Tamandua tetradactyla: one gene and its partner. The protein of the gene in region 1 interacts with the protein of each later gene in a pairwise test. Links are inferred from orthologs where the notes say so. Each region holds a gene or a part of one and is shown on either strand. Other genes may lie near its edges.

Region 1 (10,089 bases):
GGGCCTCCGGGGCGCGCTGACCCGGCTGGGGGTGGGGCGTGGGGGTCTCAGCTTTCAGCCATGGCCTCCGGCCACGCGCACATCGGGAAGCCCGCCCCGGATTTCCACGCCACGGCCGTGGTGGACGGCGCCTTCCAGGAGGTGAAGCTTTCGGACTACAGAGGTGAGGGACCCCAGGTGCGGGTGGGGCCCGGGCAGAAGGAGGCCTGGGCCTTAACGCGCGACCTCTCCACTCCCACCCCCAACCCAGGGAAGTACGTGGTCCTTTTCTTCTACCCCTTGGACTTCACCTTCGTTTGTCCCACCGAAATCATCGCTTTCAGCGAGCGTGCCGGGGACTTCCGCAAGCTGGGCTGCGAGGTGCTAGGAGCCTCTGTCGATTCCCAGTTCACCCACCTAGCTTGGTAGGAGCCGGGACTGGGGGGAGGGGGAGGGTGGGGCGCAACTAGGTTCCCATCCTAGCGTCGTCCGTGCTGGCCTCGCCGTTGCTCAACCTCTTACCCTCCCTTTCACCACCTTGAGAATCACGGAAATTATTTCCATGGAAAACACCCTGGTCATTAAGGATTGCTGACAGCAATGAGCATGTGGAAACGAGCTGCTTGGCTTGGGAGTTGCACATGCTTTTTTTCCCTATAGTCCCTGGGAGGAAGGCGGGATTGCCTTAGTACTTGAAGGTGGAAAGTCCAGTTCCAGGAAGGGAAGGAGGATGGAGATGTGATGGCAGGATCCCTGCCTCAGGCTGGAGGCCATGAGGATGCCTAAAGAGGATTTGCTGGAGCATAAGCCTGCACATGAGTGCAGGGGCTTTAGTCTTCCCAGCTGTGGGAAACAGCTCCTGCACCCAGTTCAGGGTGGGGTGGGTGGTACTCCCAGGGCCCCAATATCTCCTGCCTCCAGCATCCCACTCCAGCCCTTATCACCCAGGCGCAAAGGGTAAGGATCTCACTGTGTGGGACCTCCTGAGGCCCCAGCCCTGTCTCCCCCACCCCCAGGATCAACACCCCGCGGAAAGAGGGAGGCTTGGGCCCGCTGAACATCCCCCTGCTGGCTGACGTGACCAGAAGCCTGTCCCATGATTATGGGGTGTTGAAGGAAGATGAGGGCATTGCTTACAGGTACTGAGGGACCCTCCCCCACCCTCAGGGAGCCCCCTTCCCATTTCCCCTCTATCCCCAGCTCTGTGGCTGGAGGTGGTCCATGCTCCCTCCAGCTCCTGGCCACAGGGAGTGTCCCAGCTCCTCACTACTGAACCCTGATGTCTTCAGGGGCCTGTTTATCATCGATGGCAAGGGAATCCTTCGTCAGATCACAGTGAATGACTTGCCCGTGGGACGCTCCGTGGAAGAGGCCCTACGCCTAGTCCAGGCCTTCCAGTACACGGATGAGCATGGCGAAGGTGAGTGGACACACAGAGAGCCTCTCAGTGGCTCTTGCAAACAATCACTGCCTGCCCTATCACCTGAGCAGGGGTAGGGGCATGTTAGGGCCCCCAAAGAAGGTTCAGCTCAAGGAGTTTCTAGTCTGGTGGAGGAGATGCCTCCTTGTAAGGGTGCGCAGCTGGGAGGTCATAGGGAACCATAGAAGGTATTCGAGGTTGCATATAGCACATTAGGCTTGGGGTATGTTAGTTGGATCCTGGTTAAAGAGTCTGAATGTAGATGCTCAAGTCCAGTAGCACTGGGGCTGAGGGTGAGACATGGGGTTGAAAACACCAAAAAGCAAGTGAGAATAAGAGAAGGAAAATGATGAGGCAGAAGATACTGCAGCTGGGCCTGTGAGGATAAACAGGTGCTTGGAGGGTGATGGGATGGGGCTTCTCTTTTTGAGCCTGGACCAATTGGTTCTTAGGTTTTTCTACTGCAACTCAGGCCCTTGCTTTGTATCTGTTCCTCCCTCCCCCCTGCCTCTACCTGGAAAATGGGGCTGTAGGCTCACACATCAGTTCTCATGTCTTCCACAGTCTGTCCCGCGGGCTGGAAGCCGGGCAGCGACACAATCAAGCCCAACGTGGATGACAGCAAGGAATACTTCGCCAAGCACAACTAGGCCAGCAGGCGGGTGAAGCTTGGGCCCTCTGCCCTCAGCCACGCCGCTGCCTGGGTGCCCAGTGCTGACCCTAGGAAAGACCCCTGTAGCTTCCCGGTTTGGGGCCCCAAGGTTCTTCTGATGCCCCCACCTGGGACCTGAGAAATCCCCTCTGCCCAGATCCCACTCAGCTGGGCACAGGCTTGGGGGGAACCAATAAAGTGTTAGGGACAGATGTGAGTGTGTCTGGGTGTGTTAGTCTGTCTTCCCCTCCCCCTGCCCCACCCCCACCAAGTGGTGTCTCAGGCCTCCTGTCTGGGAAACTGATCCTGTAGTTATTTACCGCCACCACAAGGTGGCAGCCTTACTTCATGCTCCCTCTACTTGTTCTTCCTTGGCAGGAGGGGGGACTGGGGGAACTGGGGTGTTTGCCCCTTGCAGGGAGCAATCCCAGGCTGTGTGACATGCTGAATCCTGGCCAGGCAGGACAGAGCATGGCCTATCAGCCAGCCCGGGTTCAAATGCTGTTGAATAGCCACCACCTTCCCTGCATCCCAGTAAAATGGGGTCAAGACTAGCAGCCTGAGTTAAAGGAGGCAAAGTGTGCCAAGCCTAGGGTGGGGACCCTGGTCCAGACCTGGTTACTAGGTTAGTTACCGTGATGGCTGCCAGGGGCAGGCTGTAGCCCAGTCTTACAAGGAAGAGGACAGAGACCTCCTCCTGGAGGGTTGGGAAACCCACACAACCCCGGGGGGGGGGGGGGGGGGGCTCTGTCCCACCCCAGGCTTGGAAGGGGGCTGCCTGTCTGCTCCTGGGGTCAAACATCAAGGCTGGTGTCAGGGGCAGGGCAGTGTTCCAAATTACCATGCTGCTGTGCAGTTTGCTGTGTGTGTTCAGGCAAGTGACTTTGCCACTCTGGGCCCCGACTTGATTCTACCGAACAGGGCTGATAGTCTCGTTTTATCCACAGACCAATTCTGATAGTGCTCCCCAGTCTAATAATCCTCGAAGGTTCACTCATCTCCCTGGGAATATAATTTACATTCCTCTCTAAGGCTAATGAGGCAGTGATTTCCTCTCCCCACCACATCCTATGGCTCAGGTCATCCCAGCTACACTAACTTCTTGCTGTTCCTTAACAGGGTGTTCTTTTTCTGGCCACAGGAACTTTGCATATGCCCTTTCCTCTGACGAGAATGCTTTTCCCTGGAATTTTCTCAGGGTCCCCTTATTGAAATCAAGGAAAGGCCAGCTTCCCCACCACCACCACCACCCTACCCCCTGGAGCTGTTTGTTTGTTTGCTTCCTAGCACACGATCATGTCTGCTTGTTGGTTATAGTCTGTCTCTCTTGGGCCAGGCGGTGTCTCCTGGACCCAGTGGTTCAAACTTGTAGAAAGGAATTCATTAAGTTGCAGGTTTTACCGCCACCCACTCACCACCACCCACCACCACCCCAGTCCCCGCGGCTTAGGTTTTCCTCCGCGTTTCTGGGGGCTTCCCAGCTTGGACACTGGACAGATCCCCCCTACCCCGGGGGCGCGGCCGCGTCCTCTCCCGCCCCAGCTACGGGGTGGGGGAGCCTGCCCCGTGCGTGCGAGGGCGGGGGTGGTGCCCGGCGGCCCGAGCAGCCGCCCCGGCAGGACCAGACCTGGCAACAGCCCCGCTCCGGGCCTGGCACCCGGGAGGGGAAGCTGGCAAGCGGGCGCCGCCCTTCCTGGCGGGGGTGGCGGGGCAGGGCGGCGCAACGGCGCGGAGACTGCCGCAGCCCCCGCGCCCGGGTCGGGTCCTAGGGAGAAGGCGGGGTGGGGGGGGGGGCGCGGCGCGGCGCCAACCCGAAAGGGCGAGGCCCGCCCACCGCGGGTGCGCTGGACCCCGGCTTGGGGCTTTCCGGGCCCGAGTAGCCGGCCCGCCTGGGAAAATCCCGGCCCCCTTCCCGGCGCCGCGGCCCTGCCCGGCAGAGCGGGGGAGGGGATTCCCGGAATCTGCCCGGAGACGGCCTGCGCGTCACTGGGCAGAATCGGCCCATATATGGGCAGCTCTTCCGCTGCGTCAGCGGGGAAAGCCCCGGCGCGCGCGGCGGGGCGGGGCCGCGCCTGCGCGAATCGCGCCTCCCGCGCCTGCGCATTCCGCCCCTCCCGCGCGCGACCCGGGACCGCGGGGAGGGCCGGAGACAGGGTCCGTGCTGGGGAGGGTGGCACAGATGCGGAGCGAGCCACGCACAGCACTGGGGGAGCAGCCTTCTCCCCTTCCCTCCTCCTCGTCCTCCCTCCTGACATTGGGGGGAAAAAAATGACTCCAGAAATTAATAAAGAACCTTTTTTTTTTTTTTACTTAAATAAATTCAATAAAAAGTCAGAACAACAAACGCACACACACACACAAACACATCTTAAAATAAACTCTTTAGAGACCAAGTGCGTGTTTCTTCTCCACAGTACGATGCAGTTGGGGGGGAGGGCAGGGGGCGGGGGTCCCCTCCCCAGTGTCCCCGCGGGCTGGAGTACCGGGCGGCGGGGCCAGCTCCGCCGCGGTCGCCCCCTCCCTCCCTCCTTCCCTGTTAAATACACAAATATATTATATTCAATATGAATTGAGTCTGTTTCCAGCAGAAAAAAAAAATACAAAAAAAATAATAATAATAAACGTGGAGCTCGGAGTCTGTAAACCTCGAGGTGGATGGAGTGGGAGCAGCGCGCCGGCTGGCGGGCGGGAGTCCAGTGTGGTTGGCGGCGTCCCCAAGGCCCCCGGGGCCGGTGCCCACCGCCTGTCCCCTCGCCCCCGTGGGAGGAGTGCACCCAGCCGTCCAGGCTGGGGTGGGTGGGTGTCCGTCCAGGGGGGGCGCTCAGAAGGCGTGGCCCTTGACCGAGAGCAGCAGTTGGCAGCCGTTGCTGACGTGGGTCATGACCTTCTGTTTGAGCTGGGCCACTTGCTCCCGGAGGAGGCCGGCGGTGCTCGACAGCCCCGCGTTCTCGGCCTTGAGCGTCTTCACCTTGTCCTCCAGGCGCGCGATGCGCTCCAGCTTCCGCTTCCGGCACTTGGTGGCGGCCAGCCGGTTCCGCAGCCGTTTGCGCTCCACTTTGATGCGCTCCTGGTCTTCCATGTTGATTGGGGACACCGGCGGTGTGGCGTCGCGGCTGCGCGCCTCGGGCACGGTCTGCGGTTCCTCCTTGAAGGCCGAGGCGCCGCGACCCAGGCCCAGCTGCGCCGGGTGGCCGCCGGCGAAGGGCGGCGCGTGAGGGAGGTAGCTGATAGTGGCCGTCGGGTACGAGCTCCCGGTCCCGACCGCCGCCCCGGCGCCTCCGGAGGGCGCAGAGGCCGGGGAGTAGCTGCTGAGGTTGGTGTAGACGGGAGGCGGCTCCGGGCCCGCGTAGACACCCCCGGGCCCGGCCGGGGGCCCCCCGCTGGTGCCCAGGGACACGTTGGGGGGCGTCACGTGGTTCATTTTGTGCAGGTCGTCCAGAGCTTTGACGAAGCCGTCGGCGAAGCCCTCTTGCTCCTCGGTGACGCTGCCCCCTGCGCCCCCCGCCCCTCCGCCGCTGCCGCCCCCGCGGGGGTAAAAGTACTGTCCCGGCGGCGTGGGCGTCGTCGTGATCACGCCGTTGCTGTTGGGGACTATCAGGCGCTCCAGCTCCGACGAGGCGAGCTTGAGCGACGCACCGGTGTCCGAGCCCTGGCCGGAAAAGTAGCTGCCGCCACCGCTGCCCTCCGGGCCGGGACCGCGCGCCCCGGGCGCTTTAAGGCCCCGGTAGGGATCCGCCAGGTTGAGCGCCAGGCTGGGTTTCAGCAGTTTGTAGTCGTGTAGGGAGAGGCCGCCAGGGGCCCGGCCGTAGCCTGCCGCCGCGTACGAGTCGTCGTGGTAGAAGGGCTGTTCCATTTTAGTGCACATCCGGGCGGCCCGGGCGGGCTGGGGGGGTCCCTGCGGGGCCGCCCCGGGCCTCGCTGCAGCGAGCTGCTCGCTGTCCGCGGAGGTGGCTGGATCGCGTGTCTGGACGCGCGTTCCCGGGGTCCCGCACCGGCGGGGGGCGGCCAGCCAGCGGCTGTGCGCGGGAGCTCTGCCCGCCTGCCCAAGCCCCTCTCGCCCTCCTCGGGCGCGCTCGCTTTCTCGGCGTTCGCTTTCCCACTGCCCCTCCGCTCCCGGCTGTCTCCGACGCTGGCCCGGCCGCGCTCAAGGTCCCTGCTGCTGGGCTGGAGCCGCCCGCCTTTATACGACGCTTGTCAGCTGCGGAAGTGCGCCCCGATTGGCCGTCGCCAGAGCCGGGCCCCCGCGCCCCCCTCCCGGAGCGTGGGGAAGGGGAGGAGGCGGCTCGCGTCACTGTCAGGAAGCGCGTGTCCTTGTAAACAGCGGCCACGGGCCGGGTGGCGCGGCGCGGCTTCACGGGGAGGGGCTGGAGGACCCAGGGGTACGCGAAGCAGGGCTGCTAGGGGGCCCGATGTACACCGGGGAGGGGCTGCGAGGAGGGCGATGCTTCCCCAGGAGTACCCGGGGAGAGATTCGAGGGCCAGGAGCCGAGGCTGGGGTGGGGGTGGTGTCCCAGGGCGAACGTGGAAAGGTTTGAGGGACCCCGAGTGTCAGAGAGGGGTTGGGGAGGGGGTGCTGAGAATACACTGTGAGCACCCAAAAAGTAGGCAGAGGAGGGTTAAACAGGGTAAATGCAGAGGAGTAAGGAGATACCTGTCCCAGGAATTGAGTGAGGATCGCAGAGGAAATTTTCACAGGAGGGGCTTAACGCAGGCCCAGAGAGGAGGGGAGAGAATTACAGGCACACGGGGGAAGGGGTGGACAACCCATTAGGCAGGGAACTAGTAGGGATCCTCACGTCCATGGCAGAGTCTGAGGGTCCCCTTAAGTGGGGAGGGGAAGGAGTTGGGGGCTCTAGATATATAGAAAGTGGGTTAGGGTCTTGGGGTACATTTTGGGTCTGGGGAAATATGTGGAGTAGAATATGAGACATGCCTGTCCGAGGGGCTAGGTTGGGGATTAGGGGCCATCTGAGAAGCCTTGATGGACTAGAGTTAGAAAGGGGTCGAGGCACATCTTTGGAGCTTAGAGGACAATGACGGGAGGGTCCCCAGCTGGGGCAAGCAGGAAGAGAGGGGGCTTCTAGGATCCTGGGAACGGGACGTGCTGGGCGTTCCATGACTCGAGCCCCACCCCAACCCCCACTCCAGTGCGTGACCCGTGGCACCCCAATACTCTGTCCCCAATCCGATGCCCTTCCCCCAGTGACCCTGTGGTCGCCCGACACCGTGTTGGGTCCTGGAGTTGGGACCCAGCCCGACGGCTGGGGCGCGGCCTCGCTGCCCCACTCCCTTCCTTAGAAACAGGCTGGGGAAAGAGCGTGGCGGCAGGAAGTGTGGCAACAGCCCCCGGGGAAGGAGCCCGGCCCTGCCTCCGTCACTCGGATCCTCCGGGACCGTGCGCCCCGCCCGGGCTCCGCGCCTGGGAAGAAGAAGCCGGACGCGCGACCCCCGCCGAGGCCTGGCCGCGCCGAGCTCGTCGGTGCCACCGCCCCCCGCTCCGGGAATGGTTCCGTCCGCGGCGCGGGCAGACAACGCGGGGATGGTTCCATTGGCCCCACCGAACGGGGAGTAGCCTGGGGAGCGGGGCCTGGTCGCCATGGCAACAGGCCGGAGTCCGCTGGCAGGACTGGGTGCCGGGCGGCCCCTGGAGTCTCCCCCCACCCCCACCCCACGCCCATATAAGGTCACAGGAAGGGGTGGGGCCTGCGCCGTCCCGGGGCCCCCAGCCCGGAGCCGGGAGCCCGGGGATCTGCCAGGTCCCAGGGCGCCCTGGGCCCCCGGACGGCTAGTCCCGACCAGCCCCGACCTCCGCCCCCAGGGCCCCGACGGCCGCCCGGCCCCGCCCCGCCCAGCCGCTCTGGGGCCGCGTCCTGCCGGGTCCAGCCAGGCAGGTCCCCGCCTGCCCGCGGGCCTGGGTCGGACTTCGCCCCCGGCCCGACGGGGCACCAAGGAGGCTGGGCAATGCCTGGAGGCGCCCCGGCGCCTGGGCGGGCTGGCACTGCTGCCTCCTTCCTCCGGGCGGGGTGCCCTTCCCCTCTGCCAGGAGGTCTGGGCGCTCCCCCAAACCCTCAGACACACACTCCTGGGGCGCCACTCCCTGGCTCTTGTAGGCTAGGGCTCCCCTTGCGTCTTAGCCAGCGGTTCCCATCTCCCATCTAGAATGCCTGGAGGGGGTCTCCATTCCCTCCTGAGGAGGTCCCCCCTCCCCACAGGGACACCTCCCCCCACAATCAGAGAGGACCTAAAAATCCAAGGAGAGAACGGGAAGAAACACAGCACCCTTTCCCAAGGAAAACTGGGTAGAGATTCAGATAGTGAGGCTTCTAGTTAGACTTAAGATGGGACTTCCAAGCACCTAGGGTGTGGACCTCTGGGAGAGGTGAGGTGGAGGCTGGGCTTGCTCAGGAGAGCAGCTCCCTCTCTGAGCCTCCCAAACTCTGTCTTCTGGGAGGATGGAAGCCCTTTTGGGATAGAGGCAGGCTGAGAGTCTAGGGCTGGCAGGCACAGAGGTGGTCCAGGGTAGGGGAGAGAAGGAAAATGACAGAGCCGAAAGAGAAACTGAGCTGTATGGGGGCAGGGGAAGTCCAGCAAAGTGGTAGCCTGGCGGGGTAGGGAGGGGAGAAGATCCCATGCAAAGCTGGGGGCGTCCCCATCTCTGAAGGGTCCCTGTCACCCATAAGAGTACCCCCCACCCCTCTTCCCCTTGCACTACCGGCTCCCCTCCCCCGCCCCAGTCTCGGGGAGATTCCGGCGGCGGCTGCTGGTGGCTGAGTCTGACCGGCGCGCTGCCAGGCCTGTGTCTCCCGCCCATGCTAATAACTGCAGCTGACATCTGGCCCGGTGGGGGCGCAGCGGGCAGCGTTGGGGGGGCTGGGCAGGGTAGGCCAGAGGGCAGCAGCACCTTGGGAAGTTGACCTGCAGGTCCCATAGGCCAATTGTAACTCAGACCTGGGGTGAGGTGTGTGGGGAAGAGCCCTGCAGGGGCAAAGCTGTGCCAGCAAGGGACAGAGGGCAAGTCCCAGAGTGTGGAGCAAGGAAGAGTAGGTGTTTGGGGGTTGGGGTCAGGGCAGGGAGACAGACAGGGGCAGGGTTAGCGTCCTGGAGACAGAGACAGACTCCCAGACACTTCAGGTAAGAAGACAGATGGAGAAATAATAATTATCCCTTTAATAGCTAGCACTTATATGGTGCTTCTAAGTGATTTACGTATAGTCAGTCATTAGACGCTTGCAGCAACCCAGCAAAATAAAGTCTCTTGGTCTCCCCATTTAACAGAGGAGAAACTGAGGCACAGAAGGTTCCAGAACTTGCCCAGTGTCCCACAGTTATGAGGGGTGGAGTTGGGATATAACCCAAAGAGTTTGGCTCCAGGGTCCCAAGAGAAAAACAGGCAGGGGATCAGAGCTCTGGAGAATCAGAATGAGGGGGCAAGGAGCCTTTATGCAGCACCAACTGTATGCCAAGCTCTGCAGGCCCTTTCACAAAGGGTCTCCTGTATCCAGAGAGAGGAGGAGTTGGGTGCAGGATGGGTGCCCAGAGGGTGCCGTGCCGTGGAGTGTATGTGTGGGGTACCTCAGCCTGTTGGGGTCGCTCAATGCACCCTGCAAGGAAGGGTGTTTGAGCAGGGGGTGGGAATGGGGCTGGTGAGGGAAGGCGGGGGCCTAGCTGAGCTGGTCCAGCCGGTTCCAGCCCCTGCCAGTCTCACCCTTGTGGCCTGGGTGCCACCCCCTCATGCCGCCCCACTGGCGCCAAGGCCAGCCCCACAAGGAGGGTGTGAGGATGGCCCCCTCTCTCCCCTGGTCTGAGTGCCCAGACCAGCAGGGGGCTGGGTAGTCTTGTGCCCAGGCTTCCCCCACACCCAGGGGCCTGGGGTGGGGGTGGGGGGTGCAGGATAAGGAGGAAGTTCACCTACCCCCACCCACGGGTCTCTCGGGGGCTTTTGGCCTGGGCATGAGGGACTTCTGCTTCTTATAAATAGCTTGGTGACCCCCTCACTCCTGGCCCCACTGACTGACGGGGCCCCCCACCAGGAAACTGG
Region 2 (10,089 bases), on another chromosome or scaffold:
GCTCTGTGCTTCGGATTTCCTGCCGCTCCTCTGACATCCGCATCTTCCCCGGGAAGCTGACTCAAACCTGTGGTTGTGGGCCGGGAGTATAAATAATAAACAGCTGAGCATTTAGGGATCAGCGAGTCTCCCAGAGCTTTGCAGGATGTGGGAGCGGGGACCCCAGTAGTCCAAGCCTCGGCCAGACCTGGGTGCACATCCCTGCTCTGCAGCTTTCTAGCTGTGCTGTGTGGCCTCGGAAGAGGCCCTTGGTTTCTCTGGGCCTGGTTTCTTTCTCTGGAAAATGGAGCTAGTGCCCTTGTTTTGCCAGGTCCTGTCATGAAGACTGGGAGCCCGTGTGGGAAGAGGTCACCGGCCAGCTCGGGAAGGGTGGGTCCCCTCTCTCTTGCCCCCCTTCTCCAGGCTCCGTCTCCCCTTATGCTGTCACAGTCCCAGCGGACTGGTGGCCGAAGCCCAGGGTGGGTGCCCTGCTGAGACCCCGATTGCTGGGAGAGAAAGGACTCTGGCCCTGGCCTTCCTGGGGCCCCTTCCCCTCCCCACACTGCTCTCCCCCTTCCTGTCCTCACTGCTGGCTCCCACAACAGCCCTGGAGAGGCAGGCGTGATTCACGTGGTGATCGGTGTTGGGGAAGGGGCCTGGAGGGGGTCCCCAGGCATGGGGTTGGGGGGAATGAAGCCTGACCCCACCCAGCCAGTGGCTCACAAGGGAACAGGCAGGAGAGCGCTGACCTCTGCGAACAAAGGACCAAGGACGGGCAAGGACTGCAGGGAGCCAGGCAGGTCACGGCCAGAGAATTCTAGAGACAGTTTAGAGATTGTCCAGCCAGTCTCCTTGTTTTACAGCTGGGGAAACTGAGGCTTAGCGAGAGGAGGGGGCTTGGCCAAGTGCAAGGGGGTGGCAGGGCCCGGCTGTCCCATGCTCTGAGGCAGCCCCAGCATGCTGCCCCCACCCCCACCCCTAAAAACATCTCCAGGTCCTGGGGTGGAAATGGTGGGGGACTCAGGGCACCCTGAGAAGGGCAGGAAAGCATTCGAATTTCTCCCAGAGGGCAGGGGTCATGGTTCCTGAGGGAGGGGAGGGGCCCCCCAAAGAAGAAGGGCCAGGGAGGGGGTCTCAGGAGAGCAGGGCTCCCCGCAGCTCCTGTGCTGCCTGGCCTCGCATCCTCTGACTCCTGGCTGTCAAAGCCCCATGCCTGCTGTGGCTGGAGGCGGGGGCCAGCCTGAGCCCCCGCCAGGAGGCAGGGGGACCCGAGGGCCAGAGGTTGGCTATGTTTGTGAGATTGAGGGGACACACCCCAAGTGGAGGCTGGGTGCCGAGGGCACGGGGTCCTGGGTTTCTGTCCCAGTGCTGGCACTCCCCCGCCGTCCTCCCTGGACACCTGTGGGGAGAGGGTGCCTGTGAGAGGCCCCCCTCGGATGGGCTTAGGCTGGGAGCTATGTTGGGCTGGCTGTGAGGCAGGGAGGCCTGGAGGTTAAGAGGAGCTGGAAAAAAAAAAAAAAGGAAACACTAGTGGTCAGTGAGAGGGAGGGGTAAGGGGTATGGCATGTGTGAGTTTTTTCTTTTTGTTTCTTTTTCTGGAGTGATGCAAATGTTTTCAAAAATGATCATGGCTTTCCCCCTAAGATCAGGAACAAGACAAGGATGTCCATTATCACCACTATTATTCAACATCGTGTTGGAGGTTCTAGCCAGAGCAATTAGACAAGAAAAAGAAATACAAGGCATCAAAATTGGAAAGGAAGAAGTAAAACTATCACTGTTTGCAGACGATATGATACTATACGTCGAAAACCCGGAAAAATCCACAACAAAACTACTAGAGCTAATAAATGAGTACAGCAAAGTAGCAGGTTACAAGATCAACATTCAAAAATCTGTAGCATTTCTATACGCTAGCAATGAACAAGCTGAGGGGGAAATCAAGAAATGAATTCCAGGGCGGGCCGCGGTGGCTCAGCGGGCAAAGTGCTTGCCTGCTATGCCGGAGGACCTCGGTTCGATTCCCGGCCCCAGCCCATGTAACAAATACGGAGAAACAGAATACAATAAAACAAGAAAATGTTTAAAGATGTTTCCCTTTCTTCCTTCCTTCCTTCCTTCTATCCTTCCTTCCTTCTGTCTTTCCTTTAAAAAAAAAAAAAAAAAAAAAAAAAAAAAGAAATGAATTCCATTTACAATTGCAACTAAAAGAATAAAATACCTAGGAATAAATTCAACTAAAGAGACAAAAAACCTATACAAAGAAAACTACAAAAAACTGTTAAAAGAAATCACAGAAGACCTAAATAGATGGAAGGGCATACCGTGTTCATGGATTGGAAGACTAAATATAGTTAAGATGTCAATCCTACCTAAATTGATTTACAGATTCAATGCAATACCAATCAAAATCCCAACAACTTATTTTTCAGAAATAGAAAAACCAATAAGCAAATTTATCTGGAAGGGCAGGGTGCCCCGAATTGCTAAAAGTATCTTGAGGAAAAAAAACGAAGTTGGAGGTCTCACGCTGCCAGACTTTAAGGCATATTATGAAGCCACAGTGGTCAAAACAGCATGGTATTGGCATAAAGATAGATATATCGACCAATGGAATCGAATAGAGTGCTCAGATATAGACCCTCTCATCTATGGACATTTGATCTTTGATAAGGCAGTCAAGCCAACTCACCTGGGACAGAGCAGTCTCTTCAATAAATGGTGCCTAGAGAACTGGATATCCATATGCAAAAGAATGAAAGAAGACCCATATCTCACACTTTATACAAAAGTTAACTCAAAATGGATCAAAGATCTAAACATTAGATCTAAGACCATAAAACAGTTAGAGGAAAATGTAGGGAGACATCTTATGAAACTTACATTGGAGGCGGTTTTATGGACCTGAAACCTAAAGCAAGACACTGAAGTAATAAATAAATAAATGGGAGCTCCTCAAAATTAAACACTTTTGTGCATCAAAGAACTTCATCAAGAAAGTAGAAAGACAGCCTACACAATGGGAGACAATATTTGGAAACGACATATCAGATAAAGGTCTAGCATCCAGAATTTATAAAGAGATTGTTCAACTCAACAACAAAAAGACAGCCAACCCAATTACAAAATGGGAAAAAGACTTGAACAGACACCTCTCAGAAGAGGAAATACAAATGGCCAAAAGGCACATGAAGAGATGCTCAATGTCCCTGGCCATTAGAGAAATGCAAATCAAAACCACAATGAGATATCATCTCACACCCACCAGAATGGCCATTATCAACAAAATAGAAAATGACAAGTGCTGGAGAGGATGCGGAGAAAGAGGCACACTTATCCACTGTTGGTGGGAATGTCAAATGGTGCAACCACTGTGGAAGGCAGTTTGACGGTTCCTCAAAAAACTGAATATAGAATTGTCATACGACCCAGCAATACCATTGCTAGGTATCTACTCAAAGGACTTAAGGGCAAAGACACAAACGGACATTTGCACACCAATGTTTACAGCAGCATTATTTACAATTGCAAAGAGATGGAAATAGCCAAAATGTCCATCAACAGAGGAGTGGCTAAACAAACTGTGGTATATACATACGATGGAATATTATGCAGCTTTAAGACAGGATAAACTTATGAAGCATGTAATAACATGGATGGACCTAGAGAACATTATGCTGAGTGAGTCTAGCCAAAAACTAAAAGACAAATACTGTATGGTCCCACTGATGTGAACCGACATTCGAGAATAAACTTGGAATATGTCATAGGTAACAGAGACCATCAGGAGTTAGAAACAGGGTAAGATAATGGGTAATTGGAGCTGAAGGGATACAGACTGTGCAACAGGACTACATACAAAAACTCAAAAATGGACAGCACAATAATACCTAATTGTAAAGAAATCATGTTAAAACACTGAATGAAGCTGCATCTGAGCTATAGTTTTTTTGTTTGTTTGTGTTTTTTGTTTTTTTTTTCTTTTTTATATATTTTTTCAATTTTTTATTTTTATTATTTTTATTTTTTTCTCTATATTATCATTCTATATCTTTTTCTGTTGTTTTGCTAGTTCTTTTCCTAAATCGATGAAAATGTACTAAGAAATGATGATCATACATCTATGTGATGATATTAAGAATTACTGATTGCATATGTAGAATGGAATGATTTCTAAATGTTGTGTTAATTTTTTTTTTAATTAATAAAAAAATGATCATGGCGATGAATATGCTACTATGTGATGATACTGTGAGCCATCGATTGTACACCATGCATGGAATGTTTTTATGTTAAGAATTTTCATGTTCATGTGTTGTTTTGGTTTGATAATACAAAATAAATTAAAAAAAAAAAAAGAAGAAGGATGAGCTGCCTCCACTGTGCTGCCCCCTGCCATGTGCCCTCTTGGCTCACTCGCCCCTTGCCCTGACTCCATCGTCCAGCAAATACCTACAGAACACCAACTGCGGGGCAGGCACCATTCTAGCTGCTGGGGAGGCAGCACAGAAAACAGGAGCACAGTCCCTGCCCTCGTGGCGCTTCCCTTCTAGTGGTGGAAACAATCAGTGTAATAAATTGAGGTTCAGAGGCTGTTAGAAGGCCATAGTGCCTGGGGGGGATGAGAGGAGGTCGGGGAGAGGAGGTGCAGGGCAGGAGAGGAGGGTGGGGAGCCAAGGGGGGCCACCATGGGGGGTCTGCAGGCTGCCTAAGATTTGGGACTCTTCCGGAAGATTCCAGGAGCATGGGAGGGCTCTGGACAGAGAAGGAGCTGATCTGAGGCCCAGCCTTAAAAGGGTGGGGATGATGGGGGGAACTGGGAAACCATCAGTAGGCTCCAGGCACCCAGGAGGCACCTGCTCACCTGTCAAAGTGGAGATGAAGGAACAGCAGGGCCTCCACTACTCCAGGAGCCAGGCAGCAAGTGGCATCGCCTTGCACTTGGTAGGCCGGGCAACGGGTGACGTAGATGTGAGCACAGTTGTTGGAGGAGCTCTTATTTTCATGTCCTTTCCCACTGCCAAGGTTCTGGAAAGGCCTGAGGATGTCATGTGCCCGTGGGTGGATGCCAGAGGGGTGGATAACTGCTCAATCTGTCATCTGGATAACACCTCTGCCTCCCACGCGAGGCAGCTGGGCTGAGACATGCGTGGCCTGAATGTTGTGCATCCCCATTGAATAAGAGAGATAAGGCTTATGAGGAGAGGAGGGGTGGGGGTACTGGAGTGGGCCTGGGGAGAACTGAAGTCTGTTACTTGCCATTTCAGTGTTTAGGGTGCACTGACGCTTTTCCAGGTCTTTGCTTACTAATTGGTGGGACAAATACCTACTCTTTGGTATGCTGCCACCAAGTGCTGGTAAATGTCCCTGCTATGGGCCTGTGTTCCAAAAAATAAGACCTGCATCATGTCTCACCAGAGAAAAAGCATGATTTTTCTTCTCATCTAAACTAAATTTGGCAGGGCTGGGGGTGGGGAATGGGGACTTAATGCTTAATGGGTAGGGTTTCTGTTTGGGGTGATGGAAAAATTTGGGTGAAGGAAGGTGGTGATGGTAAAAAAACATTGTGACTAAAGTGACATCACCAACTTATATATCTGAATGTAGTTAAAAGGGGAAATTTTAGGTTGTATTTATGTTACTAGAATAAATTTTTTTTTTAATGAAATGAGCTAACGAGGTATAAAAAGGAATCGTGGGAGGGGTGCATGGGTAGTTCAGTGGTTAGAATGCCCACCTTTTATGCGGGAGACCCGGGTTCAATTCCCGAAGCAAGCATCTAAAAAAAAAAAAAAGAAATGGAAGGGGACGAGCCTGTCCCTGGCACCACGGGATCAACAATGCCATCTTGACAAAAAGGGGGAAAAGAAGTGTAACAAAGTATCAGTGGCTGAGAGTTCAAATAAAATCGAGAGGCTATTCTGGAGGTCATTCTCATGCAAACTTCAGTTAGACATTGCTATCCGTCATAACTTGCCAACCCCAACCAAACCATTCCTGTCAATCCTAAAGAACACCTAGTGCATTATATAAGATTCTACAAGGTTCCATGCACTAGGGTAAGTTTCCAAAAACCTATAGCCTCCAGATGGGTTCCTGGACCAGACAAGTCCTGAAATGCAGAGAATCCAGCCTCTCCAGAACATCAACTAGTTCCATCCCCCATCCCATATTATTGACAGCCCCTTCCAATATGAAAAAGTTAGAATGGGCATAGCCCAAATACCCCTACAGACTGGGAAAAAGATCCAAGGTGATGGTGGAGTTATACAGAGAAGGTCGGGTTTAACAAATGAGTGTGATTGCTGAATCATTATACTGATATTTCTTTTAGCCTCCAGTACCTTAGAGCAGCTAGAAGTAAAAACCTAAAATTGTGGAATTGTAACCCATACCAAATTCTGAAATCTTTTCTACAATTGTTGCAATGTGCTTTGAAATTTATTGCTTTTTTGTATATATGCTACTTTTCACAAAAAAAGTTGATTGTGATGATTTTATATACATATATATATATATATACACACACACACACACACATATATATTCCTTCTAGCTTCCAATGTCCTGGAGCAGCTAGAAGGAAAAATCTGAGATGATGGTATGGTAGCCCATGACAAACTCTGGGATCTGTCCTCTAACTACTTGTTGAAGAGTGCTTTGAAAATTATTGCTTTTTTCTTTCTTCGCTGTGTATATATGTTATACTATACAATAAAAAAGTTAAAAAAATCTGTTCTATAACTACTCATTAAAATGTACTTGGAAATTGTTTTTTTGTATCTATGTTATATTTCACAATAAAAACATGTTTAAAAAAAGAAAAATAAATGGAGGAACCTTAAATACATATTGCTAAATGAAATGTCAATCTGAAAAAGCTACATACTGCATGATCCCAGCTGCACGCCCCCAAGGCGGAAGTATGTAGAGGGGAAAGTGGTTGCCAGAGGTACAGGAGAAGAGGCTAAAGAGGCAGAGGACGTGGGACATTTAGGGCAGTGAAATTATTCCACATACTTGTGGGCACATGACATTATGCATTTGTCAAAAGTCAGAGAACTATGGACTTAAGTTCATATTGTGTCCATATCGGCTCATCAATTTGTACCACACTAATGTAAGACGCTTGTTACTATGGGGGTCAGGAAGGAGAGGGTTATGTAGGAATTATCTGTACTTTTTGCACAATTTCCTTCTAAACCTGAAACTGCTTTTGAAAAATGAAGTCTATTTTAAAAAAAGAAGTCCTAGGCTTGGGAGCAGCTGAGATGGGAAAGTTTATGTTGCGTATATGTTTCCACAATTTAAAAAAAGAAACTAAAAAGACAATGACAAATGTAATATATGATCCTGGACTGGATCTAATCATGGAAGGGAAAAGGCTCAAAGGATATTATTGGGACACGTGAAAAAAATTACAATACACATTGGAAGCTTTATTTCAATATTGAAATTCTTGAATTTGATAACTGCCCATAAGGTGGTTAATGAATATCCTTGTTCTTAGGAAATGTATACAGAAGCATCAAGTGTTCAAGGAGCATGGTGTATAGAAGCCAGTGTCAAATGTTTAGAAAATAGACAGGCAGATGGACGGCTGGACAGAAAGAATGATATGGCAAATGTGGCAAAATGTGGATGTGGATATCTGGATGGGAATATGTTGGAGTTCTCTGCACAGGTTTTATATTACTTTAGCAACTGGCCTGTAGGTTGAACTTATTCAAAAATAAAAAGGTTTTTTCATTTGTTTGTTTGTTTGTTTGTGTTTGTTTTTTGCATGGGCAGGTACCAGGAATGGAACCCGGGACTCCGGCATGGCAGGCGAGAATTCTTGCCATTGAGCCACCATGGCCTGCTCCAAATAAAAAAGTTTTTAAAAATGGGAAACGTTATAAGGGTTACTATATTAAAATTTAATAAAAATGAACTAACTTTATTTTAAGCAACCAAATGTGATCATTTTAGTTTGAAAGACTCAAATAGAAAATTCCTTTTAGAGAAAGTGTAAAAAAAATTCTTTGGTATATATATACACCAAAGAATTTTTTTATATATATATATACAAACTTCTTGCTAATGCTTAACAATCAGCAATTATATTTAACTTGGGTCTTCTCCCTGGCTTTTGTTTTTTTCCGCCGGACAAAAGGGTTTTGGGGTTTTTCCTTGTTGACTATAAAGGTGATCTATGGAGTGGATTGGCTGGATCAAAAAGGCTATCACTTTTTAAATTAAAACTATAATGCCAAATTGTTCTCCACAGACAATGGCTAAAGCATGCCTTATAAAAAGATGCCCAGAATTCTATCCTCAAGTTGGAGCCCACATAGCTCACAAAAGTTCCTCCTTCAAAAGCAGGCTTCATAGCTGTCAGGATTTGGGTATTTTCATTTCAAGATTCTGTTTTGTGGGAGAAAAATTATATATATATATATATATATATACACACACACACACACATACATACACACACAGAGTTATACGTTATTATATAATTACAGCTCTATATATCTTCTTTCCCAGTTGTCTTCCAAAGGTATTCCCCAAAGATTTTATTTCTTTGAATTTTTTTCTTCTTCTCAAGAGGACAAGAAAAACACTGCCTGTGACAGTGTTTTATTTTACTTTTTATATTTTTATTGAGAAAGTTTTACACACTTACAGTCCATCCATAGTATACAATCAGTGGCTCACAATATCATAACATAGATGTTTATTCATCACCATGATCGTTTTTTAGAACATCTGCAGCACTCCAGAAAAAGAAATAAAAAGAAAAAAGAAAAACTCATATATCCCATTCCCCTCTCTCATTGGCCACTAGCGTTTCAATCTATGCAATTTTTTTACCCCTTTATTCCCCCCCCATTATTTATTTTTTTACTCATCTATAAATGCCCTGGATAAAGGGAGCATCAGACACAAGGTTTCACAATCACACAATCACACTGTAAAAACAATATCGTTATTCAATCATAAGAATACAAAAGAATAACCTCCAGGATAACCTCTCAACTCTGTACGAAATCTCTCAGCCTCTGAAACTTTATTTTGTCTCATTTTGCTCTTCCCCCTTTTGGTCAAGAAGCCTTTCTCAATCCCATCATGCCGGGTCCTGGCTCATTCCAGGAGTTCTGTCCCATGTTGCCAGGGATATCTGTACACCTGGGAGTCATGCCCCTGTAGGGGGAAGGGCAGTGAGTTCACTTGCCAAGTTGGCTTAGAGAGAGAGAGGTCACATCTGAGCAACAAAAGAGGTTCTCTGGGGTGACTTTAAGGCATAATTACAAGTAGGCCTAGCTTCTTCTTTGCAGGAATAAGTTTCTTAGGGGTGAAGCCCAAGATTAAGGGCTCAGTCTATTAAATTGATTGGTCTTCCTCACTGCTTGTGAGAATATCAATAATTCCCCAGATGTGGAAACTGACTATTTTCTCCTTTCTCCCCAGTTCCCCAAGGGAACTTTGCAAATGCTTTTTCATTCTTTGTCCACATTACTTTGGGATATATGGACTAACCTGCACTAACCTGCACCAACCAACAAGACCTCATGCCCTATTCAAGATTCCATGTAATTATGGTGGTCAAATAAACTGACCATACAGGTTAAATTAGATAATACACTACCCAAAATAAAAATTTTGCAACAAATAAACATATCTCCCTTTGGTTGCACACAGAAGTTGAAGTTTTAAAACATGGATGATATCATCCTGTACCCTGTATCCTGATTTACCTTAGTCTTGTTCAGATTAGCTTCATTCATATCTCTACTCAAAGCCTGATCCCTTTTTCAACTTTTAAACAGTATGGGGTACTGCTGACTTTCATAGCTTCAGAGCTCTAACTCTGAGTCTCAAGTGTCACATAAATACCCAAAATTTCTGGGAAGGACCAGGTTATACACAAACAGCTTAGTATTTTAGGATTTAGAAATAACAATTAAAACTCCAGAATGGATGTGGCTACTGTAAGAGCTCACAACCTAGGCCCCAACCTGATAACCCATGCTCCCAACTTCAATTCACTGAATTTGTATATTATAGTTAATCTATATCATGAGTGAGGCATGATAATATTTGTCTTTTTGTTCTTGACATTTCATT

What was found.
Region 2: the proteins of JUNB (region 1) and BATF2 interact in binary tests that used the Homo sapiens proteins (3 or more experiments, as listed by UniProt). The link is inferred for Tamandua tetradactyla from reciprocal best matches to the Homo sapiens genes JUNB and BATF2.

The regions. Positions count from the first base shown.
Region 1 is NC_135337.1:89,833,327-89,843,415, forward strand, and holds JUNB (transcription factor JunB), read right to left. Parts: upstream 6,218-10,089; 5' UTR 5,917-6,217; coding exon 4,873-5,916; 3' UTR 4,254-4,872; downstream 1-4,253. Other genes in the region: PRDX2 (peroxiredoxin-2), read left to right, coding at 61-163, 251-404, 996-1,118, 1,269-1,399, 1,964-2,049. UniProt on the Homo sapiens protein: Transcription factor involved in regulating gene activity following the primary growth factor response. Binds to the DNA sequence 5'-TGA[GC]TCA-3'.
Region 2 is NC_135335.1:9,566,508-9,576,596, reverse strand, and holds the start of BATF2 (basic leucine zipper transcriptional factor ATF-like 2), read right to left. Parts: upstream 5,760-10,089; 5' UTR 5,717-5,759; intron 5,134-5,716; exon of another isoform or gene 5,018-5,133; 5' UTR 4,844-5,017; intron 184-4,843; exon of another isoform or gene 68-183; 5' UTR 1-67.